Linked DNA regions of Elephas maximus indicus. The protein of the gene in region 4 purifies or fractionates together with the protein of the main gene of each other region. This does not show direct contact. Links are inferred from orthologs where the notes say so. Each region holds a gene or a part of one and is shown on either strand. Other genes may lie near its edges. The genes, in order: HDAC2, CTNNB1, SMARCA4 and EZH2.

The links.
Region 1: the proteins of EZH2 (region 4) and HDAC2 purify together in Homo sapiens (affinity purification with western blotting; 5 studies listed by BioGRID, with this or other methods). This does not show direct contact. The link is inferred for Elephas maximus indicus from reciprocal best matches to the Homo sapiens genes EZH2 and HDAC2.
Region 2: the proteins of EZH2 (region 4) and CTNNB1 purify together in Homo sapiens (affinity purification with western blotting; 4 studies listed by BioGRID, with this or other methods). This does not show direct contact. The link is inferred for Elephas maximus indicus from reciprocal best matches to the Homo sapiens genes EZH2 and CTNNB1.
Region 3: the proteins of EZH2 (region 4) and SMARCA4 purify together in Homo sapiens (affinity purification with mass spectrometry; 4 studies listed by BioGRID, with this or other methods). This does not show direct contact. The link is inferred for Elephas maximus indicus from reciprocal best matches to the Homo sapiens genes EZH2 and SMARCA4.

What each region holds. Positions count from the first base shown.
Region 1 is NC_064819.1:180,220,107-180,227,596, reverse strand, and holds the start of HDAC2 (histone deacetylase 2), read left to right. Parts: upstream 1-4,487; 5' UTR 4,488-4,735; coding exon 4,736-4,787; intron 4,788-7,490. UniProt on the Homo sapiens protein: Histone deacetylase that catalyzes the deacetylation of lysine residues on the N-terminal part of the core histones (H2A, H2B, H3 and H4).
Region 2 is NC_064838.1:45,680,702-45,688,428, forward strand, and holds the start of CTNNB1 (catenin beta-1), read left to right. Parts: upstream 1-4,709; 5' UTR 4,710-4,904; intron 4,905-7,727. UniProt on the Homo sapiens protein: Key downstream component of the canonical Wnt signaling pathway.
Region 3 is NC_064821.1:28,999,808-29,007,236, forward strand, and holds the start of SMARCA4 (transcription activator BRG1), read left to right. Parts: upstream 1-4,416; 5' UTR 4,417-4,569; intron 4,570-7,429. UniProt on the Homo sapiens protein: ATPase involved in transcriptional activation and repression of select genes by chromatin remodeling (alteration of DNA-nucleosome topology).
Region 4 is NC_064826.1:1,338,044-1,345,453, forward strand, and holds the start of EZH2 (histone-lysine N-methyltransferase EZH2), read left to right. Parts: upstream 1-4,400; 5' UTR 4,401-4,513; coding exon 4,514-4,643; intron 4,644-7,125; coding exon 7,126-7,247; intron 7,248-7,410. UniProt on the Homo sapiens protein: Polycomb group (PcG) protein. Catalytic subunit of the PRC2/EED-EZH2 complex, which methylates 'Lys-9' (H3K9me) and 'Lys-27' (H3K27me) of histone H3, leading to transcriptional repression of the affected target gene.

The DNA.
Region 1 (7,490 bases), on a different chromosome or scaffold from region 4:
TGGTTCAGAAATATATATTGTTTTCTGTAAATGGATAATCATTAAATTTTGTTAAACAAAGGCACAGTTCAAATCACATCATAATCTCTCATGTTTGGCGTGCTGTTCAGGTTTATGAGTTACAACTTGTAGTAAACCAAAAAACCTGTTGCTGTCAAGCTGATTTCAACTTGTAGTGGCCTTAGAGGACAGAGTAGAACTGCGCCACAGAGTTTCCAGGGAGCACCTGGTGTATTGAACTGCCGACTTTTGGTTAGCAGCTATAGCTTTTAACCACTACACCACCAGGGTTTCCAAATAGTCACCGTGCCTCTGAAGTGATCAGAATTCAGCTTGAGACTGTTTTAGTTTGTAACAACACCCAAGCATCAGTCGCTATGCTCCTCTACCTTCTGTATTACTTTATAGAATTACTGCACAGAATTTAACACTAAGAAATCTAAATTTCTTTAGAGTAGAAACAAGATTATATGAAAAGCTCTTTTATAGCAACTAAAAATTAAACTATCTGCTATAGTTGGTAATAGGGTACAATTTTTAGGGAAAGCTCAGGCAATCTGTTTTTAAACAGTCCTGGTTTAAATAATCCCTTTAGGTTTAACAGATCATTTTACTGAATAAGCTCAAAGCACCAAACATCTTTGAGACTGAAAAAATAAGTTTATATAGACAGAGCAGGAACTAAAGCAAAATAGTTTAAGGATGAAGACAATCTTCAATTATGAATTCTATCAATTATTCACACTCTCAGCTTGTTTTCTTTTATTGCATATCATCTTAAACTTTCTGTTTTCTAATGGAAAAAGGGTTGATGGAGATGTTTCAATATGGGAAATGAAGTTTGGAGTTTATCAAAGGGTTCCAATAATGGATCCTTCTTTTGACCTTAGTTCTCATGATCTAAAGTTCAGTATAGATATTTAGGAGCATAATTCTCATGGCCAGCTCTTATCACTGGATCGAACTGCTGCAGTACTGATTCCAAAGGTAAATTCATTTGCTTCTATTTGTTTCAAATAGTTAGATAACAAATAATATAGCAAGGTCCGTGTCGTGGATTGAATTTTGTTCCAAGAATTTGTATACCAATTTGGCTGGGCCATGATTCTCCGGTAGTGTGTGATTTTCCTATATATAGTAAATCCTGCCTCTATGATGTTAATGAGGGAGGATGGGCAGCAGTTGTGTTTCTGAGGCAGGACTCAACCTACAAGACTGGATTGTGTCTTGAGGCAATCTCTTGAGATATAAAAGAAGTAAGCAGAGAGACAGAGGGCCTCATACCACTAAGAAAGCTGTGCCAGGAGCAGAGCATGTCCTTTGGAAACAGGGTTCCTGCGCAGAGAAGCTTCTAGTCCAGGGGAAGATTGATGAGAAGGCTGAGAGAGGAGGACAGTGAAAGCTTTCGCCTGGAGCTGACACCCCGAGTTTGGACTTTTAACCTACTTTACTGTGAGAAAATAAACTTCCCTTTGTTATGCCATCCACTTGTGGTATTTGTTAAAGCAGCACTAGATAACTATTACTGTCCTTAACCAATCAAGATTCATGTTCAGGCTCTTCTCAAAAGGTCAAGGCTAGGTGTTGTGAATGTAAATGACAAAAATTATTATTATAATAATTTGTACTATAAGAATAATCATAGTTGCCCCTTATATTCACATACTTCTTTACAGTTTAAAATGTCTCCATATTAATTCTTATTTGAATCTGTCAATATTCATATAAAAAATTACTCTCCAAGTAATGCTATCATTTTACAGATAAGGCAATTCAGAGTGGAAAAAAAGAAGTTTAAGTGACTTGCCCAAAGTCACACAGGCATTAGAAATGTAATTATGAACAAGACAAACACAGTCCCTCTTCTTACAAAGTTCTGTTCCAAAGGGACATTCTGATAAGTGGGCAACATGGACACTATAACACGGTGAACGTTGAGCTAGAGGGGCTACAGGGCCCTAGGGAGCATGTAAAGGGCACAGAGAATAAACTTAGGAGAGGGGATCTGAAAGAAGTGGAGTCTCATTTCAGACTTCATGAGGTTGCCTATGGGGGAGAACATTAGTTTTCACTAAATTAACTTATTCTGTTCTCAGAATCTACCAAATTGAGTTTGGACTCGTTAGAGCAACACTTAGAAAGTCAATGCCATGTAATTGACTTTACCTCTAAGCCAATGTTTCTCACACTGTGGTTCCTGTATCATGGGCATCAGGCACCTGTGGTACTCGTTAAAAATAAAGATTGAGGGTGGGGAGAAGGTCTACCTTGGACTTACTTTTACTAAACCTCTTGTGTGTGAGGCCCAGGAAAATTGCTGCTGTACAGATGAATACCCTGGGAAGTTTCAAGTCATATAGCAAAACAAAATGCAAGTTTTTGATAGTAGCTCCAAATAGCTCCTGCTTCAGTTAAAGGGTGTGTGGGAGGGAGTGTGCATTGTGGGGACAATTGCAAATGATATAGTTGGGATAAGAGTGTTATACGGGGCTCTTTTAGAGTAGGTCCCTGATACATGTTAACTTAATGACCTGGGGACAGAGGTATTTATAACTTATATGAGTTTGTAAAGTCCTTTCTCTTAGGTTGCTGCTCCAATCTTCCAGTATCCAGCCAGCAACAGAATTGGTATAGTGTAGCAGCTAGGGGATGTGGATCTTAGAGAAAGACTGTTGTTGGGTGTCATCAAGTGGATTCTGACTCATAGCGACCCCATGGGATAGAGTAGAACTGGCCCATAGCATTTTCTTGGTTGTAATCTTTACAGACGCAAACCATCAGGTCTTTCTCCGGAAAAATGCCAGGTCTTTCTCTAGCAGAGCTGGAGATTTGAACTGCCAACCTTTTGGTCATCAGCCAAGCGTTTATCCTTTGCATCACCAGGGCTCCTTGGTGAAAAACTAAACTAACCCCCCCCCCCAAAAAACACAAAAAACGAAAAACCAACCCCCTTGCTGCCCAGTCAATTCTGACTCATAGCAACCCTAAAGGACAGAGTAGAACTGCCCCATAGGGTTTCCAAGGAGCAGCTGGTTAATGTGAGCTGCCCACTCTTTGGGTAAGCAACCTGAGCTCTTTCCACTGCACCACCAGGGCAACTACCTGAGTCCAAATCCCCAGACCACCAGTTAGCAGTTGTGAGGATCAGGTTCCTTAATCTGCCTCCGTCTTAAATAACAGAAATAGTATTTACATCCTAGCGTTGTTGGGAGTCTTAAATGATATAATAAGCCCAAAACCAAACCCATTGTCTTTAAGTCGGTTCCTAGTGTCACTTTTTTTTTTTTAGTGTCATAGTGACTCTATAGGACAGAGTACAATTGCCCCATAGTGTTTTCAAGGCTGAAATTTTTACTGAAGTGGACTGCCGTATCTTTCTCCGGCAGAGCAGCTGGTGAGTTCAATGAGAACATAGACAATTAGGTTGGCAGCCGAGCACTTTAACCACTGCACCACCAGGGTTCCTATAATGATATAACATGTATCTATTGGTGGAGCAAAGCCCTAGTGGCACGGTGGTTAAGCCTTCAGCTGCTAAACAAAAAGTCACAGTTCAAATCCACCAGCCACTCCTCGGAAACCCTATGGGGCGGTTCTACCCTGTTCTATAGCGTCGCTAGGAGTTGAAATCAACTGACGGTAACAGGTTTGGTTTGTTTTATTGGTGGCGCAGTGGTTAAAGCCCTCAGCTGCTAACCGAAAGGTTGGTGATCTCATGGAACCCACCAGCTGCTCTGCAGGAGAAAGAAGTGGCAGCCCGCTTCCGTAAAGTTTAAAGACTTAGAAACCCTATGTGGCAGTTCTACTCTGTCCTACTGGAATGGACTTGATGGCAGTGGATTTGGTTCTTGGTTATTATAGGCAGAGATGAAATATAAACACAACTGCTTAGAACCGTGCCTTACACGTAAACGTTCCCTAAATGCTTATTCAAACCCAGCCAGTACACTGTTCTTGACATTTTTATTGGATTCTTAACAGGCCAGTACCTCAGACCAATTAACAGCAAAAAATGAAAGAATGAATGAACAAATGAGGAAATCAAGAGGACCAAGTACATCGGCCGTGGGCAGCACTTCTCTTCCCGCCGGGCTCACGGCACGTGGTCGGCTCGAGCGGGAGCTTCGCGACAGTGGGGGAGGGCAGCGGCGTGGGACAACACCGAGGGGGTCTAGGCGGCGAAGGCTACGGTTGGGAAGGCGGCGACTGCGCAGGCTCGGGACAGGCGCAACGACTGTGCTAAGATCCGAGGGGGAGAACGGCAACCTGTCTCCAGGCTCCCTTTATCCACCTGCGGAAAAAAAGCCTGCCTTTTTTTCCTCGTTTCGTGACGGTACTTGGCTCCGCCCTCCGCAAATAGTTTGTTCAGGGTTAGGGCTCTTAACGTAAGAGTGAGTGGACCATCTTTCTCTAATCGTGCTCCTTGCTCCCCTCTAGAGGCCACAGTGGACGCGTCCCACCTCCCCACGGCCCCCGGAGGTGGTTTAGCTGCCTCCGCCCCCTCCCCAGTGTCGCTAGTTGGCGCCTCTGCCACCCCCTTCTCGGAGTGCCTGGCCCCTCGGCTGGGTGGTACCGACCCCTCCCGACACCCCCTCCTATCCTCCCTCCGGCCTGCCCTTCCCTGAGGGACTGCCACCTCCACCTTCGCCCCTGCTCTGTTCTCTATCCGCCGAGCCGCGGCGGCAGCAGCAAGAGGAGGAGCCGGTGCCCGGAGGCGGCGGTGGCTGAGGAGCCCATGGCGTACAGTCAGGGAGGCGGCAAAAAGAAAGTCTGCTACTACTACGATGGTGAGAGGCCGGGAGGGTGGGCGGGCAGAGCTGAGGCTGCAAGTCCGGGCCGCGCCAGGCCCGGCACGGTGGCCGCGGTCGCCAGTGGGCGCCGGTGCTGGGGGTGTGAAGGAGGAGGGACAGACGTTTGACTGAATCTTAACCCGTTCCCGACCTGGCGCTGCCAGTGGGAGATCTCTCCGCCGCGACCGGCCCCGCGGACGGGAGCTGGAGGGACGCCCCACTTCCCTTCTGCTCCCCTTTCTCTGGCAGTGCGGCCCACTGCCCCGAAGGTGGCTGCTTCTGCGGATGGCGCCGGCCTACCGCGGCTTAGTGGTAGTGGGGAAGGGGACAGCCCTCCCTCGCGCCTCTCACGCTTGCCACTCGTGGGAGCGGAGGTTTGGGGTCCCTTGCTCTGGCCGTCTGCACCCGATCCCTCTCCCGTCCCCCCCAGGTCAAACTGTCTACCCCGGTCCTGACTGCACACAAAGCCCTGCGGCCGCGGGAGCCCCGCCCCTCCAGCCCCCTCTCTGTCTGCAGTCCCCGCCCGCCTTCCCCTCCCCTCCCCAACCTCCCCTCTTGCCCCCGCGGTGTCAGCCCGGTGCGTCTTCTCCTTTCTCCTCCTCCAGCCTCCCCCCCGACCCGCCGACCCGGGGGTTGCTCCTGAAGAGCAGTGAGTGAGGATGTGGCCCCTAGTACGGCTTGTGGCACACTCCCACCTGTGTTATGCGTGGGCTCAATCCCTCTCCTTTGTTCACTGGGCTCTTTGAGCGCCACTTTCGCGGGATTCCAATGAAAGGGCTCCACTTCTGCAGGAAAAATTAGGGTTTTCGAGTTTGAGGCAGTTAGCCTTCCCGGGAAATAAGAGGAGGTGGTGGGGAAACGTGGAGCTGTTAATGCTTGCGTTGTAGCTCAGCCTCGTTGGGTCCTGGCTTGCCTCTGTGAGAGGTGGTTCCCACCCACTCTTTGTTGCTCTTTGTTCGATCAAGAATTATACCGTGCTTTGGGGTTTTGGAGAGCTTTGGCATCTGGCTTGAGAAGGCTGTCCTAGGTGAAAGGAATCCTGGTGTAGGAACACTTGGAGGAGTAGTGCAGAAGTACTAAAATTTTTCATCAGGTAAACTGGAACTCACAGTACAGTGAATTATAAAAGTTGGATAATTCAGTAGTTTCTGAATCCTATTTCCTGTGTCACTCTAAAGTATACTAAATGGAGTAGCAACTTATTTTACAGATTTAAGCAAAAACGTTAACTTGATAGTTTCTAGTACATGACGCTTGAGAAGAAATTTCAAAATTTAACAGAGGTGAGCCTCAATCGCCAGAAAACCCTTCCTGATTTGTGTGAGGCACAAATTTTGGATGCTGCTTCCTCCATTTGGTGTATTGTAAATCACAAAATCTTACAGTTGGAAAAGACCCTAGAGGATTAAAAAAAAAAAAAAATTAGAGGATTAGGTGAGAATAAATCTGACCTTAACTTGAAAAGAGCCATATCATGTATCTTCAGTGAGCAAGGATTAAGTAGTCTTTATGCCTGTTCAATGTAAAATAACCTCCTTTGTTGTCTGCAGAAAGATCTGATATCAAAAATCTAAATTGTCTGATGTATGGTAGCTAGTTGGTTTTATGGTGGGTAGTACAAAACAGAAACAGCCATATTTAAAAAAAAATTGTTGAGAGGATTGCATACATGTGTAACATAAATTGATGTGAAATTATGCAATGTCGTAGGGGTGGAGATGGGAGTACCTTTTAATTTTATCACAAATTACATTTCTGAAAGTTTGTTGTTTAAGAATCATGCATATTTAGGTTACTGGTGAAATCCAGGCTCTGCCTTCCCTGGTCAAATTGAAAAGTAAGTTAATTTTTAAATGATTTTGTTTCTGATGTTCTTCTCAAGGCTTTGGGGAATGGGGAAAACTTTAAAAGGACAGAGAACCTGAGGTAAGGCTCCTCCTGCAGCTGTTAGTTACTGTTGGCAGTGGTGGGCTCTGATGGAGCAAGCTGACTTACGACTTCTGGTCACCGGGCTTGAACTGTAGAACCAGGAGGTTCACTTGAGTAGCAGTTTTCTGAACAGCTGTTTGTTCCTGGGTCCATCTGTGATGAACCTTTGTTGAAGGAGCAGGGACAAGATGGGTCCTAGGGCAGGGTGCAGACTTGATAGGCTGAGAATATCTGAGAGTCTCATGATTGTGGCTTAATACTTTATTGTAGATCATTCAACTGCTTTACCTGAAAGGCCAACAACCAGGTGTTTAACTGACAGAGTTTGGAAAAATCTTTGGTGGGTCATCTGTCTTTTGTCTGTGGCTCTTACGTGACTCTTCATTTTTAGAAGGGGATATTTAGTTGCTTACACTTTAAATATTTGTGGAAAAGAGTTCCTTTTGTGTGTATGTGTCTGATACAATATTTTGCAGTTTTTTTTAATCGGATAAAAGCCATTATGCTAATTATTAATATGAGCGTATGCTAAATGGCACAATTCCAGAAGCTTACATTTTCATTACCAAAAAACTCTATTTAGTCAACTTATAAAGGTAGTAAATAATACTTTTTTCTTTTCTTTAAATTATAAAGAAATAGTATACAAGTAAAACAGCTTCCGCTCCAAAGAATTATATGACCTGAAAGTATGAACGTGTATAGAATTGTGGGTGGGGAGTTATCAGTAGTAATAAGCCTGAATAATCTTCTAGCCTAATTTATCTAGTT
Region 2 (7,727 bases), on a different chromosome or scaffold from region 4:
ATAATTTTCTATTTCTGAACTGATTTGTAAGAGAATAAGGGTAACTGAAATTAGCAAAGCATCACCCCTCACAAAGATGGCGCGTGCAGAATTTGCGAAAGCGGAAAAGAAGGTGAAGGAGAAGCAAAAAAGGGACGGCATACTGCAGTCTGGGGTGGTGAGTGTTTGGATGGGGGTGGGGAAAATGCTGCAGTTTTCATGAAATAATAAGGTGGGGGAACAAAGGCATACAAAGAGTAGGTTTTTCATTGTTTGTAAAATATAAACACAGATGAATTCTGTCTTTGGTTGGTTCATGCTTTTCACTCTGCACAGCAGGGATGTTCTTAAGAAGTTGCCCTCTGCGAAATTTCACTAAATGGGAACCGTGGACCCTGCATGATGGGATTATAATCACACCAGCCACTCCTTTTACATAATTTTTTGTTTAAGATCCAGTAAGACTCCCTGTTTTTACTATATATAAAGCAATAGACATGTCTATGTCGATAAACTGAGGATTTGCGTCCCCATAGCCTAGCGCAAGCTAAAACAAAAACTGGTGATATCGTATCTACAAATCTCAATGGACTCAAAAACAATATGAAAATTTTTAGCTGACAAGAACATGTCTGCTGCCTGCAGTCCTTGCAACAGCTCACCATGTTGCCTACTAACCGAAAGATCAAAAATTATCGATTTCATGGCGCTGCGTGCTCTGGAAAGAAAAGCTACTTTAAAATTTGCATTGTTTAAGAAATGAGTTAAAAGAATCTTTTTTTTTTTTTTTTTCCTGAACACTTTGGAATGTGAAAATGGCTTGTTGTTTTAATCTTATCCATGATTTACCATAATTCTATTATTTTTAGCAGCTGGAGTCCAGAAATCATTTTTTTCGATGAATTTAGGATTTTGCCGCAGTATACATCTGCAGTCCCAGAATCCTCCGGTAAGTTAATCCTTCTTGCGATGGGAAACGCCTTTAACCTTCCTGTGAATGAAGTATCTGCAACCATTTTGAAATTTTTATTAGAGGTGTGTGCGTGTGTGTGTTGGGAGGTAGACGGTGCCTCCAAAGCATGATTTCTTAGGGATGTGGCGGTATTTGTATTAGTACTTAGCAACATGGAGAAACAGATACCTTTGTGTTCTTTGAATATCATGGGTGATGTCTCCATTTCTCGTCCTTCACACTTTCTATGGTTGCCATTAAAATGTACTTCCTCAGTATGGCAAGGAATGTCCTGCCAAACCAGCGAAGGCCTCCGGAACACAGAACTGCGAGCAGAAGGGTGTTCTTGGCATAACTGAAGAGGCCATGAACATAACGCTACTGCCACCACCACCACCACCACCACCATCGTGTTCCACCACCTTCACGGCCCCTCATTCGATCTGAAATGCACACCAGACGCAAGCTTTCCACACTGACTCTCCGCCAAATCTGCCCAGTGGGTTCCCAGATTACTTGTGTGTGCGAGAATAGCCAACCATGTAGTCTGACAAGAGGTATTTACAACTACTTAGCCTGTTGAGCTGGAACGAAATCAAAAGATAACACTGAACCCTGAGATGATGTATTGCAAATCAAAAATAGTCCATAAATAGCCCACTTGACGAACTGCTAAATGAAAAACTGACCCTAACTATTGTCTGGTGTTTTCAGGTTGTCATAAATACTTTTAATGTGCCTTCCTAGAGAGTGGGGATTTACTGTTTTTAAAAGCACGGACTATTATTTAGTCTTTTTGTTGGGGGGGGGGATTCCTTTTAAGGGGATTCCTTTTAAGGGAATTCGGATGTAGAGTCCAGAGACCACACCCTGATTTCACAGCTCTTGTTTTCTGTTTCTATTTCCAAGTAGTGCTGATTAACATTTATAATTATTAATTTAAAGGATCTAATACAAAAGATCCAGTCATCTGTTTCCTTCTTGCTAAACGAACCTCATTGTCTTAGGTGCTCAATAAGTGTTTAATTAATAGATTTGATAGAGTTAACCACCCAAAAAGTGAACTGGCCTTCTTCACAATGCTGACTCGATAAATGCTTCTGTCCCAAGTGCAAAAACAATCTCTGGGCATTTATTCCTTTGCCTAAAGGTGATTCAAAGGTATGTGTTTTAGCAAAGGGATGCTTTACGTTCGATTCTGTGTAGTCACTGCTTGATCTGCCAATGGTCGAATATCACAATAATACCTCCACTGCTAAACCAGCTGGAGACGTGCTGGGTTTCTAGGGACACTGGCTGAAATTTAGAACCATTTGTCTGTTGCAGTCTCACAGAACGAATTAATTTATCTCAAACTCAAGTGGGCTGGCTCTACAAGGAAAAGGTGATAATCAAGGGTTTTTTTTTTTTTTTTATGAAATGTCTTGCTCAAAGTCAATTTTTAAAAATCATTTTTTACAAAATCACTTATTTCACCAACTCATTAGGTATTTCGATACTTGTCCTTTGGTTTAATGATAGTATTTATCTTCATTGCACAGAAGTCATCTCATATTTTTGATGAGACAATTGGAACAATTTGTTTTATGAGAGGAGGAAATAAGTAATCGGAGAAATTTGTTAAATTCAACTGATTTGTTTTAATGCTAGTCACCCAATAACTCTTCAGTATACTTACATCTGACGGGAAAAACTGCTTGCTGCATTGCTGCAAATCTTATCATTTCCTCTAAAAACATGTGTTTGCTTAAAGTATCAACAGATTAAAAACATTAATTCTATATTTAGAGAAAAATGCTTGGATTATTTTGGCACCTGAATACAGACATACAAATTTAAGAGTATTTTTATCCTTTAGATTGTCTAATGATGCAAATATTTCTTACGCCAGTGTTAACACCATGCCTTATTCAGCAAAAATAAACTGAGCATAGAAAAAGCAAACATCTGCTAAAAAAAACCCTCTAAATACTGTTTAATCTGTCATCTGATTTTAAGACATATGACTGTAATCAAATCAACCCTAAATTCTTTAACTCTGTACAGAAGAGTTAAAATTGGGGATTAATACCTGGAAATACCATTTATACTTCTGAGTTTATATTAGAAATATTGCTTTGATTAAATACCTTTTTCTGTTCCAATTGTCTAAATTACGACCAGCTGAACTGACCACAAGCATCAGCTACACTTAATTCCACAGATTACTAGCAAAACTGCATATGATAAAGTCATTCTGGACAATAGATCTCACTGAGTATCATCTTAGGGCTTGGACTTTTTCATTGCAGGAACCCACATGGGCTATGGCGATAGACGACAGTTATCATAACTGTATATAATAAAGTATTTTTTAAAACTGCAGAACGGAGTTTAACCTACTGGCCCTGAAGTATTAGCTATGCTAAAACTACCAGTGCTACTCCTTGAGTGAACCAGTAAGGCTAGGTTTCCTGCCTGTACCTATGTATAAACGCTTCTTGTTTGCATGCATTAATTATAATTCTGGTATAAAAGCCCCAACATAACTTTCACTGTTGCTTTTTGTACTCTCTTCATTGCTTTAGATGAAAAATAAGCATAAAGCAATAGACTAGAGAAAGTGAGTCGATAATAATTGTTTCAGCTTTCACAAATGCCAATCTTGCTGGATTACAATGGGGACATTTCCAAGGGAGATGAAGACCCAACTTCAGCCTATCAAAACGAATTAGAAAATGTTTTTGTCGTTGAAGAAAATTAGCTTAAAAAAAAAATTAGAGGCTGTCTAGTCGACAACTCCTTCCGTAAACAACATACTTCGCTTTCTCATGTAACACCGTTGAAATACACCTCCCACAAAGAAAAATCTCCACAAATAAATCTACCGGTACTTAGCACAGCGGAACCAGATAAAATTGGAATCTATAAGAATTAACCTAACTGACTGTCTCTAGCTAATCTATCTCCATTAGTCATTTGTTCACAGTAGGCACTCATAAGGACTTGTTGAATTGCAGACCTGGCGCACAATCTAGAGCGCAGCCTCCCGTAGTGGGATGGAAGGCGGCTCGGCCCGGTCGCTGCCATCCGGATTCAGGCTGCGCAGCCGGTCGGGATGCGAGATCCACGATCCTGACGGTGGGGGGCTTTGGGGTGGTGTGCAGCTGGGCTACGAGCCTGGCCTGGCAGGGAGTGTGTGGCACAGACCACAACCGGAGTCCCCGACGGACAGCGGGGCAGCGGGGTCGGCGGCGGCGACGCCCAGGCAGAGCTCGAAGGCAGGCGGGCCCCGACCCCGGTGCCCGCGCCGCCACCCCTCGGCTTCGAACTTCCACCCTCCGGGGACCCGGCTCTGCCCGCTCCGCACAGCTCCCGAGGGTCGGGGCCCAGGGGCCGCCTCGGGCGGGCGGCGAAAAGCGCGCGGCGAGCCCGGCGTCGGCTCTCATGCTCCGGTGGGCGCGCAGGGCGGGGGCGCCGGGCTCGGGACAGTGGGAGACCTCGGTGCCGCCCTGCCCCCGCCCCAGCACGCAGGAACTCCGGCCTCTCCGCCTCAGGCCATAACGCCCCCACGGGACGGCCTCCGCTCCCGCGCGGAGAGGCAACTACCGGCCTGCACCCTAAAGATGGTCTGGGAGGGCGCGCGCCCCGCCCGGGCCCGGGGCCCTGGGGACGCGGCGGGCGGCCAGGCTGCCAGGGACTACTTTCCACCGCCCGCCCGCGCCCCGCCCCTTGTCCTCGCGTGGCGGAATGCTCCGCCAGCGGCGGCAGGATACAGCGCTGCTGCGCCCCTTATAAGAGCTCCTTGTGAGGCGCCATTTTAAGCCTCTCGGTCTGTGGCAGCTGCGCTAGCCCGGCCCTGGGAGCGGAGAGCGAGGGGAGGCGGAGACGGAAACTGTGGAAGGGCCAAGGAGCAGCTTCAGTCCCCGCCGAGCCGCCACCGCAGGCCGAGGACTACTGGACTCCCGCGGCGGGCGGAGCCTGTTCCCCTGAGGTGCTGGACGCTCCTTTCCTTACCCTTCCGGGGCTGCTCCTGCTCCCTCTTCGGAGCCAAACTTCGTCGCGGGCGCGCGGTCCCGGCAGCCGGAGGGGACCCGGGCCCGTTGCAGCCCGGAGGCCCGAGGCGGGGGGCGCGGGCTGGGGCGCCTTGGAGGCGGCGGCGACGGGCCGCGCCCGGTGGACGGAGGGCGGCGGCCGGGCCCCGATTCCGCTCGCGCTGCCCCTCGGCGGTCCGGGGGGCGCCGCTTGGGGGAGGAGGGGGCGCCGCGGGGGGCGCGTCCAGGAGCCCGGATGGCCGGCGGGTTGGGGGGGCCGTGGTTTCCGTCCGGGGCTCCGGCCGCGGTCGAGTTTGGGGGAGGGACCCTGGGCCTCGGGATGCGCCGGGGCTGGGGTGGGGGGCGGGGGTGGGGCTCCGCCTTCCCAGCCCGAGTCGAGAGTTGGGGTTCGGGCGCTGGGGAAGGGGCGCTACGCTAGGTCGCTCCTGCGGTGGGGACACAGCCAGTGGGCTTTCTAGAGTCCCCTTTTCTTTCCCAAGGAGAATAAGAAAATTATTATTTTCTAATGCCTGTGCGAGTTTGGCACTGGCGCTTGTTAAAATTGAAGCAACTTTAAGCCTTAGAGGAACAAAACTCTTCAGTGCAGCCGGTGCGATGCGCCAGCAGGGTTTGCCCGTGTAAGATTTGTGTCTTGCACCTAAATTTTCTTGTGTCGGGCAGGTGAATGATAGCCAGCGAGGACGCGTGGGATATTACTGGGAGTCTTGGGTTTATGTAGGTGGGTGTGAGACCCAGTGAAATGGGGGGGGGGGGAGTCCGAGGGCGACGGGCTGACTGTTAGTGTAAAGTGAAGTGTGGGACTTTGCCTCTGTTTTGAGAAATCTGTTCGTAAAAGCATTTTATTCCAATAGTTTTATAATTAAACTATTTTTAGAGCACATTTTTCCCCCCCAGCAGAGAGAATTTTTCCCCAGCTACGAAATTGGCCAAGTGTAATTCAAGCACGGCAACTCCTTTCAGTGTTTTGTCTGGGGGAAAGGCTTTTTTTTTTGAACAGAGACTTTTCGGAGTTCCCACAGCCCGCTTCTCAATCGGCTAAGCTCGAAAGCTTTGGCAGTTTGTTGTAGTTGTTTCCTTCGTTTTCTGCTCGCTTTTGGAGGCAGCATTGTCTCATACTTTGTATCTTCCAGACATCTGTGGTCTCCCCTCCCCCTGAGTTTGTGAGTGGTGAATGAAGAGAGACTGGGCTGCTGGTATGCAGAGGTCGGCAAAAGGAAATCGAGGAGTGGTTTTAGTGAAATGAGAGCTTTGTATCATGAATAGCGGTGGCTTAGACTAGACAGCGACTTGAAGAGACGGCAGCGTTTCTTTTGATAAAGTCTAGGCTAATCTTTTTCAGATTGCTAAGTTAGAAAAGTATTTTGCCTGGAATTTAGGAAGCCATTTCACTCTTTGTCCCTTGGTGAACATTTCATACCTTCAGAGAAGTTTTCTCCTTGCCTTGTCTTCATCCTGAGAAAGTAATGTTAGATAAAACTTGAAATGCTAATTAAGGTCTGCTGCTATTTACTTCCTGCTTAAATGAGTGACCAAGATGTGTTGTTTGGAATCTTTTCTTTTAAGTGTGATCTAAGTCTGCTGCTACATTTGTTTTACTTCTACATTTAAACTCACAAAACCTCTGGATTAAAAAAAAACAGTACCATCAATGTTTATTTGAGACTCTCCTTTCAGACTAGACAAAATTTGATTAATTTGCACCCAATATTCATTAATTTGACCTAGTCTTTGTTCTGAAGGCCATGTACAAGGACAAGGCCCTAAAGTGATTGCAACAGTAACTGAAGAACTTGAAAAACTTGAAGAAGACTGTTCCATAGGATTAAAGGAATGCAGAGACTATTCAGGTTTGAAGTCCTTGAGGGAGAAATAAAAAAACACTGCGCTAAAAGTCTCAGTGTAGCACGTAACTTAGAGTCCTTGTGGCTTCCTAGGCCTGAGAATTTTTCAGAGGCCAGAACGGTCATTTTCGATAGTTGTAAGGGAAAACTAACACTTTTTTTTCCCACAAGGTAGCTAATAAAAAATGAAGCATTTAACAATATAGAGGTGTCAAGAAGCAGTCAAGAGTTTTTTTTTTTAACCTGATTACTTCATTTACCAAGATTAATTTGTAGAAAAATTTATATTCAAGTATTAAAACTTATTGAACTTTGAATTGAGCTTTCTACTGCTGTTAGTGATGATTGGAGTAAAAATTGTCGTAAATGGAGTTCCATATGCTTGTTTTCATAAATCCTGTTATCCAGGATAGAAGGGAAAACATGAAGTAGGCAAGTTTCCCCAAATGTATTTTGAGATGTGATGTTTAGAAAAACTATCTGTGGATATCTTTTTTATTTGTTTAGTTGCGGGGGGAGGGGCATGACAAGTCGAATGTTGAAACTAGGGCCATGGAGAAATCTAAAGTTTGAATATCATTCTTACATGGTTATCAGTAGCAGTGAAATTAAACACCAGAAATGGACTGTGTAAGTATATTTATCTAGATGAAACTTGTATTATTGAAATGAAACAGTGCATCTGTCCAGTTATGAGTCTATTTCCCTTTCCTGGCTTAGTAGTTGCTGATAATAATTATAGATGAGTAGGTGGTAAATTTTAAGTCTGTTCTTTGAGCTTGGCTACAAGCACGCTTGACTGCCAACTCAAGGTGGAAAGAATGAAGGCTATTAGAGCAAGACAAACTTCCGGTGAAAGTATTGGCAACTATTTTCTAGTGCTGTATGTTGACTTGTAACATTATTTTTGAAAACACTGTG
Region 3 (7,429 bases), on a different chromosome or scaffold from region 4:
TTGGTCCAGTTGTGATGATTTCTGTTTTCTTTTATGTTGAGGTGTAATCCATACTGAAATCTGTGGTCTTTGATCTTCATCAGTAAGTGCTGCTATAACAGAAATACCAGAAGTGGGTGGCTTTAACAAACAGAAATTTATTCTCTCACACTCCGGTAGGCTGTAAGTCCAAATTCAGGGCGCTGGCTCCAGGGGAAGGCTTTCTTTCCCTGTCAGCTCTGGAGGAAGGTCCTTGTGATGCATCAGTGTTCCCTTGGTCTGGGAGCATTTCAGCACAGGAATCTCAGGTCCAAAGGACACGCTCTGCTCCTGGCTGCTTTCTTGGTAGTATGAGGTCCCCGTGTCTCTCTACTTGCTTCTCTCTTTTATATCTGAAAACAGATTAGCCTAAGACACTATCTACTCTTGTAGATCTCTTCAGTATAACTGCCACTAATCCATCTCTTTACGTCATAGTGATAGGATTTACGAAACATAGGGAAATCACATCAGATGACGATGGTAGATTATCGTACAATACTGGGAATCAGGACCTAGCCAGGTTGACAGATAATTTTGGGGGACACAATTCAATCCACGACATGCTCTTTATAACCACACCCACTTCCCTCTTGGCAACCACTAACCTGTCCTCAATTTTTAAATGTTGTCATTTCAAGAATGTTATATAAATGGAATCGTTTATCAGGGAGGGAGCAAAGGGTCTGTATGTCACTGTGAGGACTAACTTCGTCTTTCACTCTAGGGAAGAAGAAAGCCACTGGAGGGTTCTGAGCAAAAGAGAGACATGATGGAACCTAAATTTTAACACCTATTAAACATCCAAGCAGTGGTGTCTGGGAGATAGCTTTATGAAGTGTAAGGGAAAGGTCAAGGCAGGAGGTACACACTTGGAAGACATCGGCATGTAGGTGGTTTTGTAAAGTCACATGCCTGGAAGCCAAGGGGGTGAATGTAGATAGAGGACCAAGATCTGCATTCTTGGGCAGTTTACTATTAAGAGTTTAGTGTGACAAGGAGGAAGCTGCACAGGAGACTGAGAAGGAGCCGACAATGAGGTGGGAAGAAAACCAGGAGAGTGTGGTGTTCTGGAAACTAAGTGGGGAAGTTGTTCCAAGGAAGAAGGAACGGGTCAAGTGTTGCTGAGAGGTAAAGGAAGGCGAAGATGAGAATTAACCACTGGATTCAGCAATGGGAAGGTCCCTGTGACATTGACAAGAGTTACTTCAGTGGAGCAGGAAAGACTTGACTAGAGCAAGTTTAAGGGAAATTACAGAAGCCCTAAGTAAATGGAGAGATAGACCATGTTCATTGATCGGAAGACGTAATATTGTTAAAACTGTAATTCTCTCTAAATTGGCCTGCAGATTCAATGCAATCTTAATACAAATCTCATCAGGTTTTTGGGTAGATATTGACAAGCCGATTCTAAAATTCTAAATGGTAGAAATGCAAAGGACTTTGTCAAAATATTTTTTTTTTAAAAAAGAACAAAGCTGGAAAACTTACCCTACCTCATTTCAAGACTTATTATTGAAGACAGCGTGGTGTGGGCTTAAGGGTCGACATATAGATCAATAAATAGTCCAGAAACAGACCCATACTTAAATGGTCAAGTGATTTTTTTTTTTGACAAAAGTAACAAGGTAATTTAATGGGGGAAAAGGACAGTAGGGAACACTAGGCGTTAGAATGGTTGGCTACCTCTATGGAAAACATTGAACTTCTGGCCTTACCTCATACCATACATAAACATTAACTTGCAAGGGATTACAGACCTAAATATAAGAGCTAAAGGCATCAGCTTTGTTTAAAGTTCCCCCAGGGACTCCAAGGTATAGCCCAGAATCACTGGTCTATAGAATTGTTTTCTATAGGCATCTTGTCCCTAAACCAAAACAGGATTCTAGAGCCTTCCCTTCCAGGGTTTCTAGGTCTCCATTGTCCCAGCTACACAGAAAGCCCAAGTCTCACTCTTAGCCCCCCTTCTCCTTCACCCATCAGGTCCAGTCGTTCAAGGTTTATCCATTCTGCCTCCAATTTCCTCCACCCCTCTCCATCTCAACCATCTTCACTCTAGTTTAAGCTGCCATCCTCTCAACCTGGGCCACTCCAATAGCCTTAATGGACTCTCACTGCCTCTCCTTTTCCTCCAGCCTAATCTCTGCCCAGCAGTCAGTCACGGGATTCTCCTGATTAAAGCCATTCAACTGGTTCCCTCTGTGCTACCGAAAAAGTTAAGAATCCTCACCTCAGCCCTCAATGCTCTGCCTGGTATGACTGCTGCTGACCACGCCCCCTTGCCCCCCATCACCATTTCTTCCAGCCACAGAGGTCTTTTTCTGTTCCCATGCTCTTATTCTTTTCAGGGTCCTGTTCCTCTACCTAGTGCCCTCCTTCTCCCTGCTCTTGCTCATCCTTCTTGGCATCAATACCATTTCCTCAGAGAGGTTTCTGTGACTCCTCAATCCAGGAAGACCCCGTTATGATCTCGTTGCATCCTGGGGACTTTTCTTTTCTATCACATATTAGTAACCAGCATGGGAGACAGTTGACTAACATGTGGACTGTGTGCTCCGTGGGTAGGAACCCTTGGTAAGTCACTGTAGGCCTGTGACCAGCTCAGTGCTTGACATGTTGAGGGAACTTAACAAATACTACTTGAATGAGAGAGGCTGAGGTTCAGACCTACTTGTCCATTTTCTGTGCATTACTCAACATTACTTGCTATAAGCAGCCTGTGAGGTGGATGCCATTATTGTTCCCATTTTCCAGGTGAAGAAATTGTTATGTAGATGGGACAAGGGAACTTGCCTGGTATCACCCAGCTAATAATACTGGAGTCAGGTTTTAAATCCAGGTCTTTTGGACTCCAGCATGAGATCTCACCTTCTGCTAGAAACTGCAAGTCACTCACCTTGGGCTGATGTAGGTACGACACCTGGCACAAATACACTCGAGACAGTCTCTATTATTCTTTCAATACAATTTTTAAAGTGTCTATTATGTCGAGGTATGGGGCCCTGGTGGCGCAGTGTTAATAGGTCAGCTGCTAACCAAAAGATCCACGGTTTGAATCCACTATCGGAAGCCCTATGGGTCAGTTCTGCTCTGTCTTATAGGGTTGCTATGACTCGGAATCTACCCCACGGCAACAGGGTTTTTTTTTTTTTTTCTTCTATTATGTTGGGGAGGAGAGCACCAAGCTAGATGTTGGGTATTCGCTAGTGACTACAACTGGTTACATCTTTGCCATTTAAATTGAGATGCAGAAGACAGATGATAAAAGAGACTATCCATGAAATATGAAGGAAGGGAAAAGTAGGCAGTGATCAAAAAGAAGGCAGGTCTGAAGTGCTGAAAGTCAGCTGAAACCTAAAAAATGAGGAAGAGCAGGCCTGGGCGAAGCAGTGGGAGGAGCAGCCCAGGCCGAGTACTACAGGTTGTGGGACTTGACCTTGGTGAGCTCTTGTCCGGTTAGGGGCCGAATGAGGTGGCGCTGAAAGTATTTTAAAAATACAGATAAGAGCCCTGGAGTCCTAAGGCCTTCCCACTTGCCAGTCCCTTTGGTAGGAACAAGCTCTGTCCCTCACTGCTGTCACGTTTAGTGAGAAGTCGTCTTCGCAGCGAGACCTTCCCAGCTTGCCCTATTTAAAGTTTCCACGACACTGCATGTCTCCGTCCTACAACATATTTTACTTATCTTTTTCTTGTCTGCCTCGCCCCCCACACTAGACCCTCAGCTCCACACCGGCTGGGATTTCAAAGGTCTGTTCGGTACTACAGCACCAGCGCCTGGGACGCAGTAGCAGCTCTATAAATATCTGCTGAACTAATTAATTAATGGTACTCGGTGGGTGTTGCAGAGAAGGCGATCACAGCCGAGCCCGTCTGGCCTCGCAGAACAGGCCCCGCCGCCCCGGGCCAGGGACGAAAGCGGTTCCCAGGCCTGTCACTGGCCCGCGGACGACTCTGCGCAGCCCCGGCCCCTGTTGGGCTGTCTCTCGCCCTCATGCACGGCTCCGAGTGTTCGTATCCGAACCTCAGGGTCCCTCGGCCAGCCCCTGCCCGCACACCCCGCGACCACCCTGCCCCATCCCCCAACCTGCCGCCGCAGTGACACCCACTCCGCGCATGCTCAGCGGCGTGTGGACGCGCGTCGTGCGGAGGAGGAAGATGCCTATGCGCAGGCGCAGGGCCATTCCGGACCGAGCTGGGAGGTGCGTCGCGCGCGCGTGCTCCTTCTGGGTCCCGCCCACCTCCCCTTGCTCTCGCGCGGGCGCGCACGCGCGCGAGGGGTGGAAGGGCCGGCGAGCGCGCGCACGAGGCCGGGCGCCAGCGGAACTCAAGAGGCCGTCCGTGGGGGGAGGGAAGTCGGCGCGCACGCGCGCGCAGCGGGGGCGCGGGCGGTGGGGGGGCGGCCGAGGCGGGCGCGCGCTCAAGGCTTCCCTTCGCTCGGCGGCGGCTGTTTCTTTGTTTCGTGAAGAGAGGCGAGACGCCCACTGTGCCCCCGGCCCCGCGCGGAGGGGCGGGGGCGGCGCCGGGAAGGCAACGCCGCCGGCAGTTCGGGTAAGGAACGCGGGCTGCGAGGGGAATGCGGCGCGGGCCTTGGGAAGACGGTTTGAATGGAGCCGGGGCGCCGAGGGGGGAGGGGGCCGCCGGCGCCCGGAGCGGGGCCGGGGTACGGCGGCGCCCGAGGGTCAAGAAGCCCGGGCCCGCCGCCGCGCGCGCGGGGAAGGCCACAGTGTAGGGAGGCCGCGGTGACTACAGTATCCGCGGGCGGGCGGGCCCAGGGAAGGGGGGCCCGGGCCTCGTGGAGGCCGCGCGCCCCCCGCGCGCGCTCTCGCCGGGGTCGTCGGACAAAGCTCGCCTCCCCTTCGACGGGCCGGGGGTCCGTCCGGTGTCGCGTTCTCTGGGGAGGCTGCAACAATAGCTAGGCGTCGGGGCTTTTCTGGCTACGTTGTAGCGGGTCCGACCTGAATGTTGCCTTTTTGGCGAGGCTGTGGTTGGGGCTGAGTATGAAAAAACACACATGTGCCCATTGTCGCCTGGACATGAGCGTTAGCAGCCCTTTTGGTAATCAGAAAACCGACCTAAAATTTTATAAATAGCACGTCATTCCAGACTTTCAAGGAAACGTAAATAACTCCCCCAATTTCTTGCAGGTAGTGACTTCAAAACACTGCCCTGAAGTGAGGGGAGAGGTCGGCGGCAAGCGGGCGGGGGGGGGGGGTGGAGAGGATGGAGGGAAAGATTTGCTGTTGAAACATTGTTTTTGCTTTGTATCCTTTGCCCACTCTCCCAATTTATTTTCCAGATTAAGGCAGTTATTTAAAACGTAGACTTTTCAGGCAAGTGTTTCGTGCTGATCTCAGACATACCAATTGTAATTTTTTATGAGTGATCTTTCGGGAGAGTAGAAAGGATATAAGTGTTAAGAGGCGCTTCCCAGGAATTTGAAACAAGCTTTCAGTTTGAATTGACAGACTGGATTCAAGTTTGATTCCTGGCGCTGTTGGTCATTTAGCTGTGTGACCTTAGGCAAGGGGCTTAACCTCTCTGGGCCTTTTAGGCTCCTTGTTTGTGAAATGGGGATAATTTCACAGATGGGGCTGGTGAAAGCCTGTAAAATGGTTCCTGGCAGGTATGAAGCACTATTCTTATTGTATGGTCTGATCTCCTTCTTCATTGCTCAACAAATATTTGTTGAATCTCTACTGGGTGCCCCATGTTTTGGGTTTGGCTGCCCTCAAGAAGTCTCTCCAGTTTTGTAGGAGAAACAGGTATAAGTAGATGTAGCAAAAGTGGGTGGGATGGGGTGTGCAGGGATCAACCCTCCGTGGCCTGTCATTCACATGTGCCCTGTGAGGGGGACACAGTGGAAGTGCAGGGGAGTTGGGGGAACCAGAGATTAGGGAGGCTTGCATTGGAAGAGGTGGCATTCATGCAAGATCAGGGAAGATGTCCAGGCTTGTGTTTTGACTGGCAGGGATGCCACTTCAGGGACACCTTCCCTGACCACCCGGACTGGTCATTGTTCCCTTCTGCTACACACTGATACATCACGTTGATCCTTTCCATTGTAGCAGTTATCCCAATTTGTAGTTACACGTCCATCCTACTCGAGTCCCATCAGAACAGGGGCCATGTCTGCCTGGTTCTGTGCAGTATACCCTGGACCTGGCACACAGTAGGCCCCCCCCGTGAACATTTTTGAAGTGAACTAGTGGGTCTTTGGGGGAATTGAATGAATATGTGTGTGAAGTGCTTGGCTTAGGACTGGGGGTGGGTTGTAAGCGGTAAGGGTTAGCTGCTGTTGTTGGTCTTTTGACTTTCCAGGCCAGTGTTTCCCAAATCTCAGCACCCCCTGGAATAGGGGTGTAGGATGCCATGTGTGGACAGTATGGGGTGGTGATGAGAAGTGCTTGTTCTGGAATCAGACCTGCTGAATTTGCATCCAGTCCTCGAAATCCTAGCTGGTTTTGAGTAAGGCACTGAACAATAGGTCCCCCCACTTGTGAAACAAGTATGATGATGAGGCCAGCTCAAATGGGTGCTTTGAGGATTGCCTGAGATAACATGGGAAGCACCTTAACACTGCAGCACCTGACATACAGTAGCACTCGAATTTGTTGGCCTTAATGTTGTTCACTTTTTTTTTTGGTAAATTAAGTGTTTAAAACACTAAAAATAGAACCTAGAACCATCCTATATCCCAGAAACCCCAGGTTTGAAGTGCTGGTTATATATACAAAAACCAAACCCTTTGCTGCCAAGTCAATTCCAACCCATAGCTACCCTGTAGGACAGAGTAGAACTGCCCCATTGAGTTTCCAGGGAGCTGCTGGTGGATTTGAATTGCCGACCGTTTCATTAGCAGCTATGTCACTTAACCACTGCGCCACCAGGGCTCCGCTGGTAATATATTTTCCCTCTCATTTCCTTTAAATCAATAATTATGAAAATCCTAAGTGTTCCTCCACGTGCCACCTGAAATCATTTTGTTTGCAAGCCCTTCAGGAGAGATGGTTCTTGGAGATTTTTGATCAGGGTAGTGACATCATCAGGTATACATCATCAGGTATAGGGCAGTGCAATGGTCTCCACACTTTTCCTGTCAGTAACGATTTCTTTAGGTGAACATCTAAATTAGAGGCATACCTCTGCCACTCCTTGTGGACCCTCAGAATGTTAGGAGGTAAGCCTAGATTACTTCCGCGGTTCCCGTGTTACCCAGTACTTAGCAGTTTATCTGATATGGGGAGTCTGCAAGGGCCTAAGTGTGCTGAGTGGATGTCTGGTGAACAAAATTCTGCCACTGAAGATGCTGAGGTCCAGGGATATCTCTTCACCAAGGGCTCTGAAGCCAACTGCCCAGGTTGGAGTCCTGGCTTTGCCACTTTTCCCCTGTGCCACAGTGAAATGGGGA
Region 4 (7,410 bases):
TGCAGTATCCCCTTGTTCTGTTTGAATAATTACCTTTTGAACTATGTACAAGTTCCTCATGAGCACAGTTAAGTGTTCTGGAATTCCAATTTTCTGCCGTGTTATCCATAATTTGTTATGATCCACACAGTCTAATGCCTTTGCATAGTCAATTTTTATATACTAATAAATGGAGCTCTGGTGGTGCAGTGATTCCGTGGCCAACTGCTAAGTGAAAGGTTGGCAATTTGACCGTGGCTCCTCTGGAGAAAAGACCTGGCGGCCTACTCCCGTAAAGATTACAGCCTAGGAGACCCTAAGGAAGTCCTATGGGCTCACTGTGAGTCGAAATGGACTTGGTGGCACACAACAACAGATACTAAGGAAATAATTGTGACATAGTTTTAGGACCAGAGCACTGAAAACTTGGGCGATCTCTTTAGCAGCAAGTCATAAATTAAGTGTCCCCCTCTCCCAGCAAAACAAAACTCTTTAGAGTTGCGAGCATCTATATAAAAAAAATTTTTTTTTTTTTAATTAAGTGAAGCTTGCATGGCTGTATACTCTGTGTATCACCCAGTGAACTCTGCTGTCATTGGCTTATAAAATTTGTATTTACATCCATACTAGATTGTTGATTAAAGTTAGAAAGCTTGAGAAACTTTGATAATGGAAAAAAGTAAATGAGGAGTATAAAAAAGATCCTGCAAATTTTTTCAAGATGATCTTTATCCGTTAATTGTATTATATGAGCTAAATTAATAGATGGCGTATCAACCTGTCTTCAGTAAATTTTTAAGTGTTGAAAAGACAAAACATCATGACCTATTCATTTTAGTGTCTTAATTTTTAATACTAAAGACCATCTTTACGTATGTTACTCGCTGAGGAATGCTTATAAGCAAAACAAAGATTTAAGAAAATAAGACGATTGATTTTTGCTAAACATTGAATTTCAAACATCATTAAAGCCACCCTTGTGTGTTTTTGATCCAGTAGCACATAGTGAAATTCTCTATGTTCTATCTGCAGATACATGAGTATCTTCAGTGTGTTTACAAGTAATAGCCAGTTACTGAGAACCTTCCCTGTGCCTAGTATGTGTACAGTCTCCAAACCAAGCATTTTACTTTTGAATTTTGAAAATCATGCATTTTAATTATTTAAAAGGAAACACCATGTATCATTTGTTAAATGGGAAAAGTAGAATCCATCTTCATGGATTTTATAAAAGATTCTGTTAAGAGGAACTTAATTTTGAAGTATGCTGACCTGTCATATATTGGGTGGAAAAAATTGCAGCGTGAGTGTCCCTGTTCATCAATTCTGATCTACAGTACTTCAGTATTCAAATTATTTAATCAGTGTAAGCAGAATTGGCAAAATTTAATTTTAAAGCCCCAAGTTGGAATCGTCTTGATGACTACTAACAACAGCAGTGGTATTGTATGTTACCATAAAAAGTACTTATGGGTTAGAAAAGGTTGGAAATGCCTTCTAGAGTGAATTAGGGACTTGTAGTTTTTTTTTGTAGATGGCAGAAATGTTGCTCGAACAGGCTGGAAAAGATAAGTTGTGGCCCCTCCTTAGTAATTTTGCCTGTTTGGAGAATATTTGTTTGCTTGAAATAGAGCTCAAGTTATGCTACAAAGAATGTGTATTTTGACTCCCCGAGTGGTGTAAACGGTTAACGTGCTTGGCTGTTAACCAGAAGGTTGGAGGTCTGAGTCCACCCAGAGGTCCTTTGGAAGAAAGATCTGGGGATCTACTTCTGAAAAATCAACCATTGAAAACCCTGTGGGCACAGTTCTATTTTCAGACACATGAGGTGTCCATGAGTTGGGGTCAACTTGATGGCAACTGGTTTTGGTGTAAAGGAAACCAGCATTTTAGTTAGGAGAGGATATTGAAATCATATTGCTTAAATTTTGTTGGGTTTGGATTTGACCTTCTTTAGCTGTCTGTTCAATTGAGAGTGAAGTTAGTGCTATTAGACTAGTTAGGAAGGATGAGCGGTACTTGTAGTTATCACTTGGTTTTCTTTGGACAAGTAGGAACAACTGGAATGTTACCTTGGTTTAGCAAATCCTTTTTAGGAGTAAAGGGCCTTTAAGAAAGGTAGCCAAGGGCACTGAAGTGCCGGCTAGGGGACAGTTTTTGGTTTCTTGGCCTTTAGCAACTGAGTGAAGGACAGGGAGTCTTCCTAGGTAAGGCTTCTCCTAGGTAGACCAGAGCTGGACTCAGCTGGACTCAGGGCAGGTGCAGCCTGGTCATCTGAGAGGTAGAGAGGCTTGTCTCCTAGTGGGGAGTAAGTCAGCCCTGCATCACTAGTCTTCAAGAATGTCGCTGGTGAAGAGGAAACCTGCTGCCAGGACCTGCTGCTGCAGGGCATGAAATCTCAGCCCTGGATGTCCCTTAGCCAGAAGCCCCTGCACTTCAGGTGGTAGAAAGCCTGACCCAGACTGGTTTAGACAAACAAAGGTAGTTTGTTGACTATTGTAACTGAAGGAATGGGGAGGTGACTTGGCAGGGCTGGCCTGGCTCAGGGCGTGCACAGTGTGCCTGCGGTGGTTTCTTTCTTTCTCTTTTTCTGTTGTTGACTCTGCTCTTTGCAGACTCTCCTTCTGTGGTTACAAGATGCCCCCAGCAGTTCCTTGGGCTGCATGTTTCCATGTTCAAATCTAGTAGAGACCATTCCTAAGAGTCCTTGTGATGGACCTATCACTGTCTCCAGGGAGATGGTGTCCTTGGTCAGCTGAGTCGCCTCCTCAGATGTTCCTGACCCTTGGAGGATAGCTGTGTGAGTCCCTGATGAGGGGTGAGTTGAAGCAAACACTCTTGTGTTTACTTTTATGGGCAGTGAGGTTAAAGGGCCTGCCCGTGTGGGTGATCTTTCTGAGATTGGTTTGATTCATAAAACAGGCTGGACTTTGTGGTCTCTCCTGAGTTTTATTTAACCTGTAGAACAGCAGTCATGGAAGGCTGTACTGTATTCTGTGAAGGGTTTGATCGTCCCTGGCCATAGTCTGGTTTGGCTTTTGAATTTTCACTCACAGGTAGAGTCTCGTTCCAATCACTGGAGTTATGATTTGTTTTGAATGAGGAAGCTGTTTTCATATCCTGGATAATGTCATTTCACCTATGAAACTAGAACATCTTTCCAACGAGAAATTAAAGACAGAACAAAACAAAAAACTGGTTGTATCCACAAGTCCCCATCCACGTAGTAGCCAGTGTTTAAATAAATGTTGCCTTTGCCGCTACATCATATTTGGAGCTTTAATCCTCGAGCACAGAAATGGAGTCAGAAGGCCCACTTGAGCCCAGCTCTGCCCTGTCGTGGGAGGACCTGCTGTGGGCCAGCTGAAGGGCCAGGTATGTGTGTGTGTGGCTCTCATTTGGTGTATCTGACAAGCCTTGAGGGTAGGTGGTGCTATCCCTGTTTTTGGATGAGGACTTTGAGGAAATACCAGCTTTCTTATCAAATGTAAATCCCAGAGGTGCCAGGATTTGTGCTCGAGTTGTATTCATCGGTAAGGGTAGGTGAGGCCACAGGGCCCATATTCCGTCCCTGAGATTCACGGGACATTTCTGCCTCAAGTGCGGGCAGGCAGCCTCCCTTCCATACCTGGGCCCAGTGGGAGACAAGCCTGCAAGTCATCCATTTCAGTGTTTTTTGTTTTTATTTGTCTTTAAGTCTACTGTTTGCCAGGCACGTAGCCAGGCTCAGGGGTTTTACAAGTGAATAAAAACGATTCTTCTATTGAGGAACTTAAGAGTGGGAGCCGACCCGCTGACAAACGGGAAAGCTAGACATTCATAGACAGACATAGAGTGCTGTGAAGGCGGGTGGGCGTTTGTTTTCTGTAAAACATCCTTCTCAGTGGTGCCTTAAATTTTCTCATCTTTTCAAGGATCTGCCTACCTATCCCCATACTTTGAAAGAACAGTCTGAACACTTAGATTTATTTCTTAGCTTGTAATTCAGAGGTCACGATCCTTACATTTTGATAGTTTCTCCTGAATGAACTAGCATATATGTGTGTGTATATGTGTGTGTGTGTATAGTGTGTGTATATATATGCATGTATGTGTGTGTATATAATGTGTGTATATATATATATTGTGTACGTCTATATATGTGTGTGTATATAGTATGCGTATATGTATATAGTGTGTGCGTATATATTGTGTGTATGTGTGTGTGTATGTGTGTGTACGTGTATATATGTGTGTGTGTGTATATAGTGTGTGCATATATAGTGTGTATGTGTGTGTATGTATGTAGTGTGTGTATATAGTGTGTGTGTATATATGTGTGTATGTGTGTGTATGTATAGTGTGTGTGTGTATATAGTGTGTGTGTGTGCGCACGTGTATATATATTTATCCCCCCCCGCCCCCCCCCCCCCCCCACTTTGCAGTTACCAGACCATCCTGTAGGTTAAAGTCTTAACCTATGTACTTCTTTGGAAGAGTGTTGAGAAATTTATAAGCATAGAACTTATGGTATATGCCCTCCTTTTTTCCCTAAATGTTATTTATTTTGTTATTGAGAATATACACAGCAACGTGTATGCCCTGTTACAGAGATGTTTGTTCTGGAGTCAGTTCTGAAGTGTCGTGTCGACCTGGCATCCTGTCTGGCTCAGGTGGCATCTTCGGTAAGAGGGGAGAATCTTGTCATGGCAAGCTTTATTAGAGACCTTGCTTGGAAGGAGGGCAGCAGTGCTCAAACAATACAGTGCTGTCTCTTCACCAGGGCATAAAATGTGCGTCTTAAAAGGCATGTTGCCGCAGTACCCACGCCACAGTGCATTAACTGAGCACCACAGTCCTGCAGGTTTTATGGCGCAGGGGCGCCAGCTCCAAGGACCAGGAAGTGGCCAAGGCAGCAGGTAGACTAGTTGTCATGATCCAGTGGGCTCTCATTTTTAGCTGATTCCTTTCCCTTCTAGTTTCTAGGCCTTTGGAGTGCTGAAAGGTCTGAAAAATTTTGCGTAGAAATACTTACGCTCATCTGTTAACTAAGCTAGCATGTATGAAAGCAAACACGTCACTGAACTATTGACGTGTTTCTTCCTAACTGACGTCTTTTTGTCCTGCTTCACCTTCCCTTGCTAACCTCATTTTCTGCTTGAGTTAGTCTTCTCCGTTCTAACAACCCACAGATTTGCCCAGCCAGCCCCCTCAGGAAGGCCGTCCTTGGGGCCTGTGACCTTCTTCAGCCCTCATTGTCGCCCCTGCCCATCCTCAGAGCTGTCTCCTCCTCTTTCCCCCACCCTTGCTCCTGTTGACAGTGTCTTCCGGCCAGCTCCCTGCCTTCACCTGCCCCACGCCCAGCTTTCTCGAGCTCATGCCTTTGTTGTTAGTTGCCTTGAGTTACCCGTGACTCATGGTGACGTTGTGTATAATAAGGAAATGTTGCCCATTTTTGTACCATCTTCATGATTGTTGGTATGTTTGAGTCCATTGTTGGTGGCTGTTGTGTATCAGTCCATCTCACTGAAGGTTTCCCTCATTTTATGGACCCTCTATTTTATCAAATATGATGTCCTTTTCTAGTGATTGGTCTTTCCTGATGACCATCCTCGCTTCTAAGGAGCATTCTGGCTGTATTTCTTCTAAGATGGGTTTATTTATCCGACAGTCCACAGTATATTCAGTATTCTTTGGCAAAACAACAGTTCAAATGCATCAGTTCTTCTTCTGTCTTCCTTTCTCATTGTCCAGCTTTCACATGCACAGGAGGTGATTGAAAAAGACCATAGAGTCCCTCATACCTCAGAGAAATCCAGCTCATCTTTAAGGCTCCCTTGTCCTGTCTGCCTGCAGTCCTTCTCAAGTGCGCATCCTTCTTCCCCACTCTTCCTAACTCTGACCTTATAGGTACTTTTGTGTCTGGAGCGCGTACCAGACTGCATTTGCTTCTTTATGCCTTCTTGGCTAGAGTGTAAACTCTGTAAGGGCAAGGTGTGTCTCATTCACCTTTGTACACCTGTTACCTGCTTCATAATAGTCATTTATTACATGCTCGAGAAAATGCCATTCTTTGTCTCCCTTTCTTTCAGCTCTGAATAAACCACCTTCTGCTTTTGCATCACCATGTGGTTGTGGATGGAGTATTGTAGAAGTTACCACTGGCCTCAGGACCCTTTTTCTTCCTCTGAAGCTTCTCCTCAGGCAGTGCCGTATGCCTGAGGGTGTTATGTGCAGAGGTGCATGCATCCCTGGTTAGTTATTCCATCCAGAAAGCTACTTCCTCTCTCACTTTCCATTTTAAATCATCACGACGTCCTGGTGACGTTATCTCCTAAGTAACCCCTGGACTCATTCATTCTTCTCTCACTGCAGTCTCTGGCCTAGAGACCTCTGCCAGCAGCTCCCCATAGCTGCTCTCTCCCTGGCTCCTGCCCTGCAGCCAGCAGCTGCTCCATGTGTACCCCACCCTCTCAGTGCTGGATGACACTGGAGCAGAGGTCCTTGGTGTGCCTATAATAAAGCTCTGCCGGGAACTGCCCATCTCATCTCAACATGTCATGTGACCTCTGTGCTTTTGGAGGAAATGTGATAGAAAAGGATGTGACTTGGACCTAAGTGGGCTCCAAGGGTGCTGGGACCCCAGGAAGTGGGGCCCACCTGGGAGCGAGCCGAGGGCCACACCTCAGGGTTTGTTGCATCTCTCGGCCACTCTGCTGGCGGGAGCCCCTTGTAGAGGAAGGGGCTCAGGTGGGGAGTGCTGGGATGCAAGCTTGCTGTGTGCTGCACGGGTGGGTTTCCACCCACAGTGACTGGACCTATCACCACTTCTTTCTGTTGACCCCTCTGACTAGTCAGTTCTGCCTTCTGTAACAGCCAGTTTAGTGACAAGAACTTAGAATGTGCTCAGGCATTTCTTTCCCACAGAAACAAGGCTCTCAGAGAGTAAGAACTGTGGAGGCAGTGCCCTCTGGTTCCTGTCATGCTGTCACACCCTGGAAGGCAGCTGGTTTTGTGGGATATCTTCAAGGTGTAACTGCAGAGTGTCTTGCAAACATGGGTGGTATGGTGTGTGGTCATTGATTGTCACTGCTGGGATTACAGCCTCAGCAGTCAGCCTAGGCTGGCCAGATGAGTGATTTTATCATGAAACCGTTGCTTCTGCAGTGATCATGGGCCAGACCGGGAAGAAGTCTGAGAAGGGGCCTGTGTGCTGGCGGAAGCGCGTAAAGTCCGAGTACATGCGGCTGCGGCAGCTCAAGCGGTTCCGGCGGGCGGATGAGGTCAAGGTGAGATTGGCTCCCGTGAGGGGCACACACCCACCCTGGGTGGCTTTTCCCTAAAGTCAAGTAAGCTTTAATTTGAATGGCACATTCCCACCAGAGTCCTGTTCACAGCAGGGTCCCTTGAGCTGTCACAGTTAACTCCGCAGTGTCCCCTGCACATCGGTGC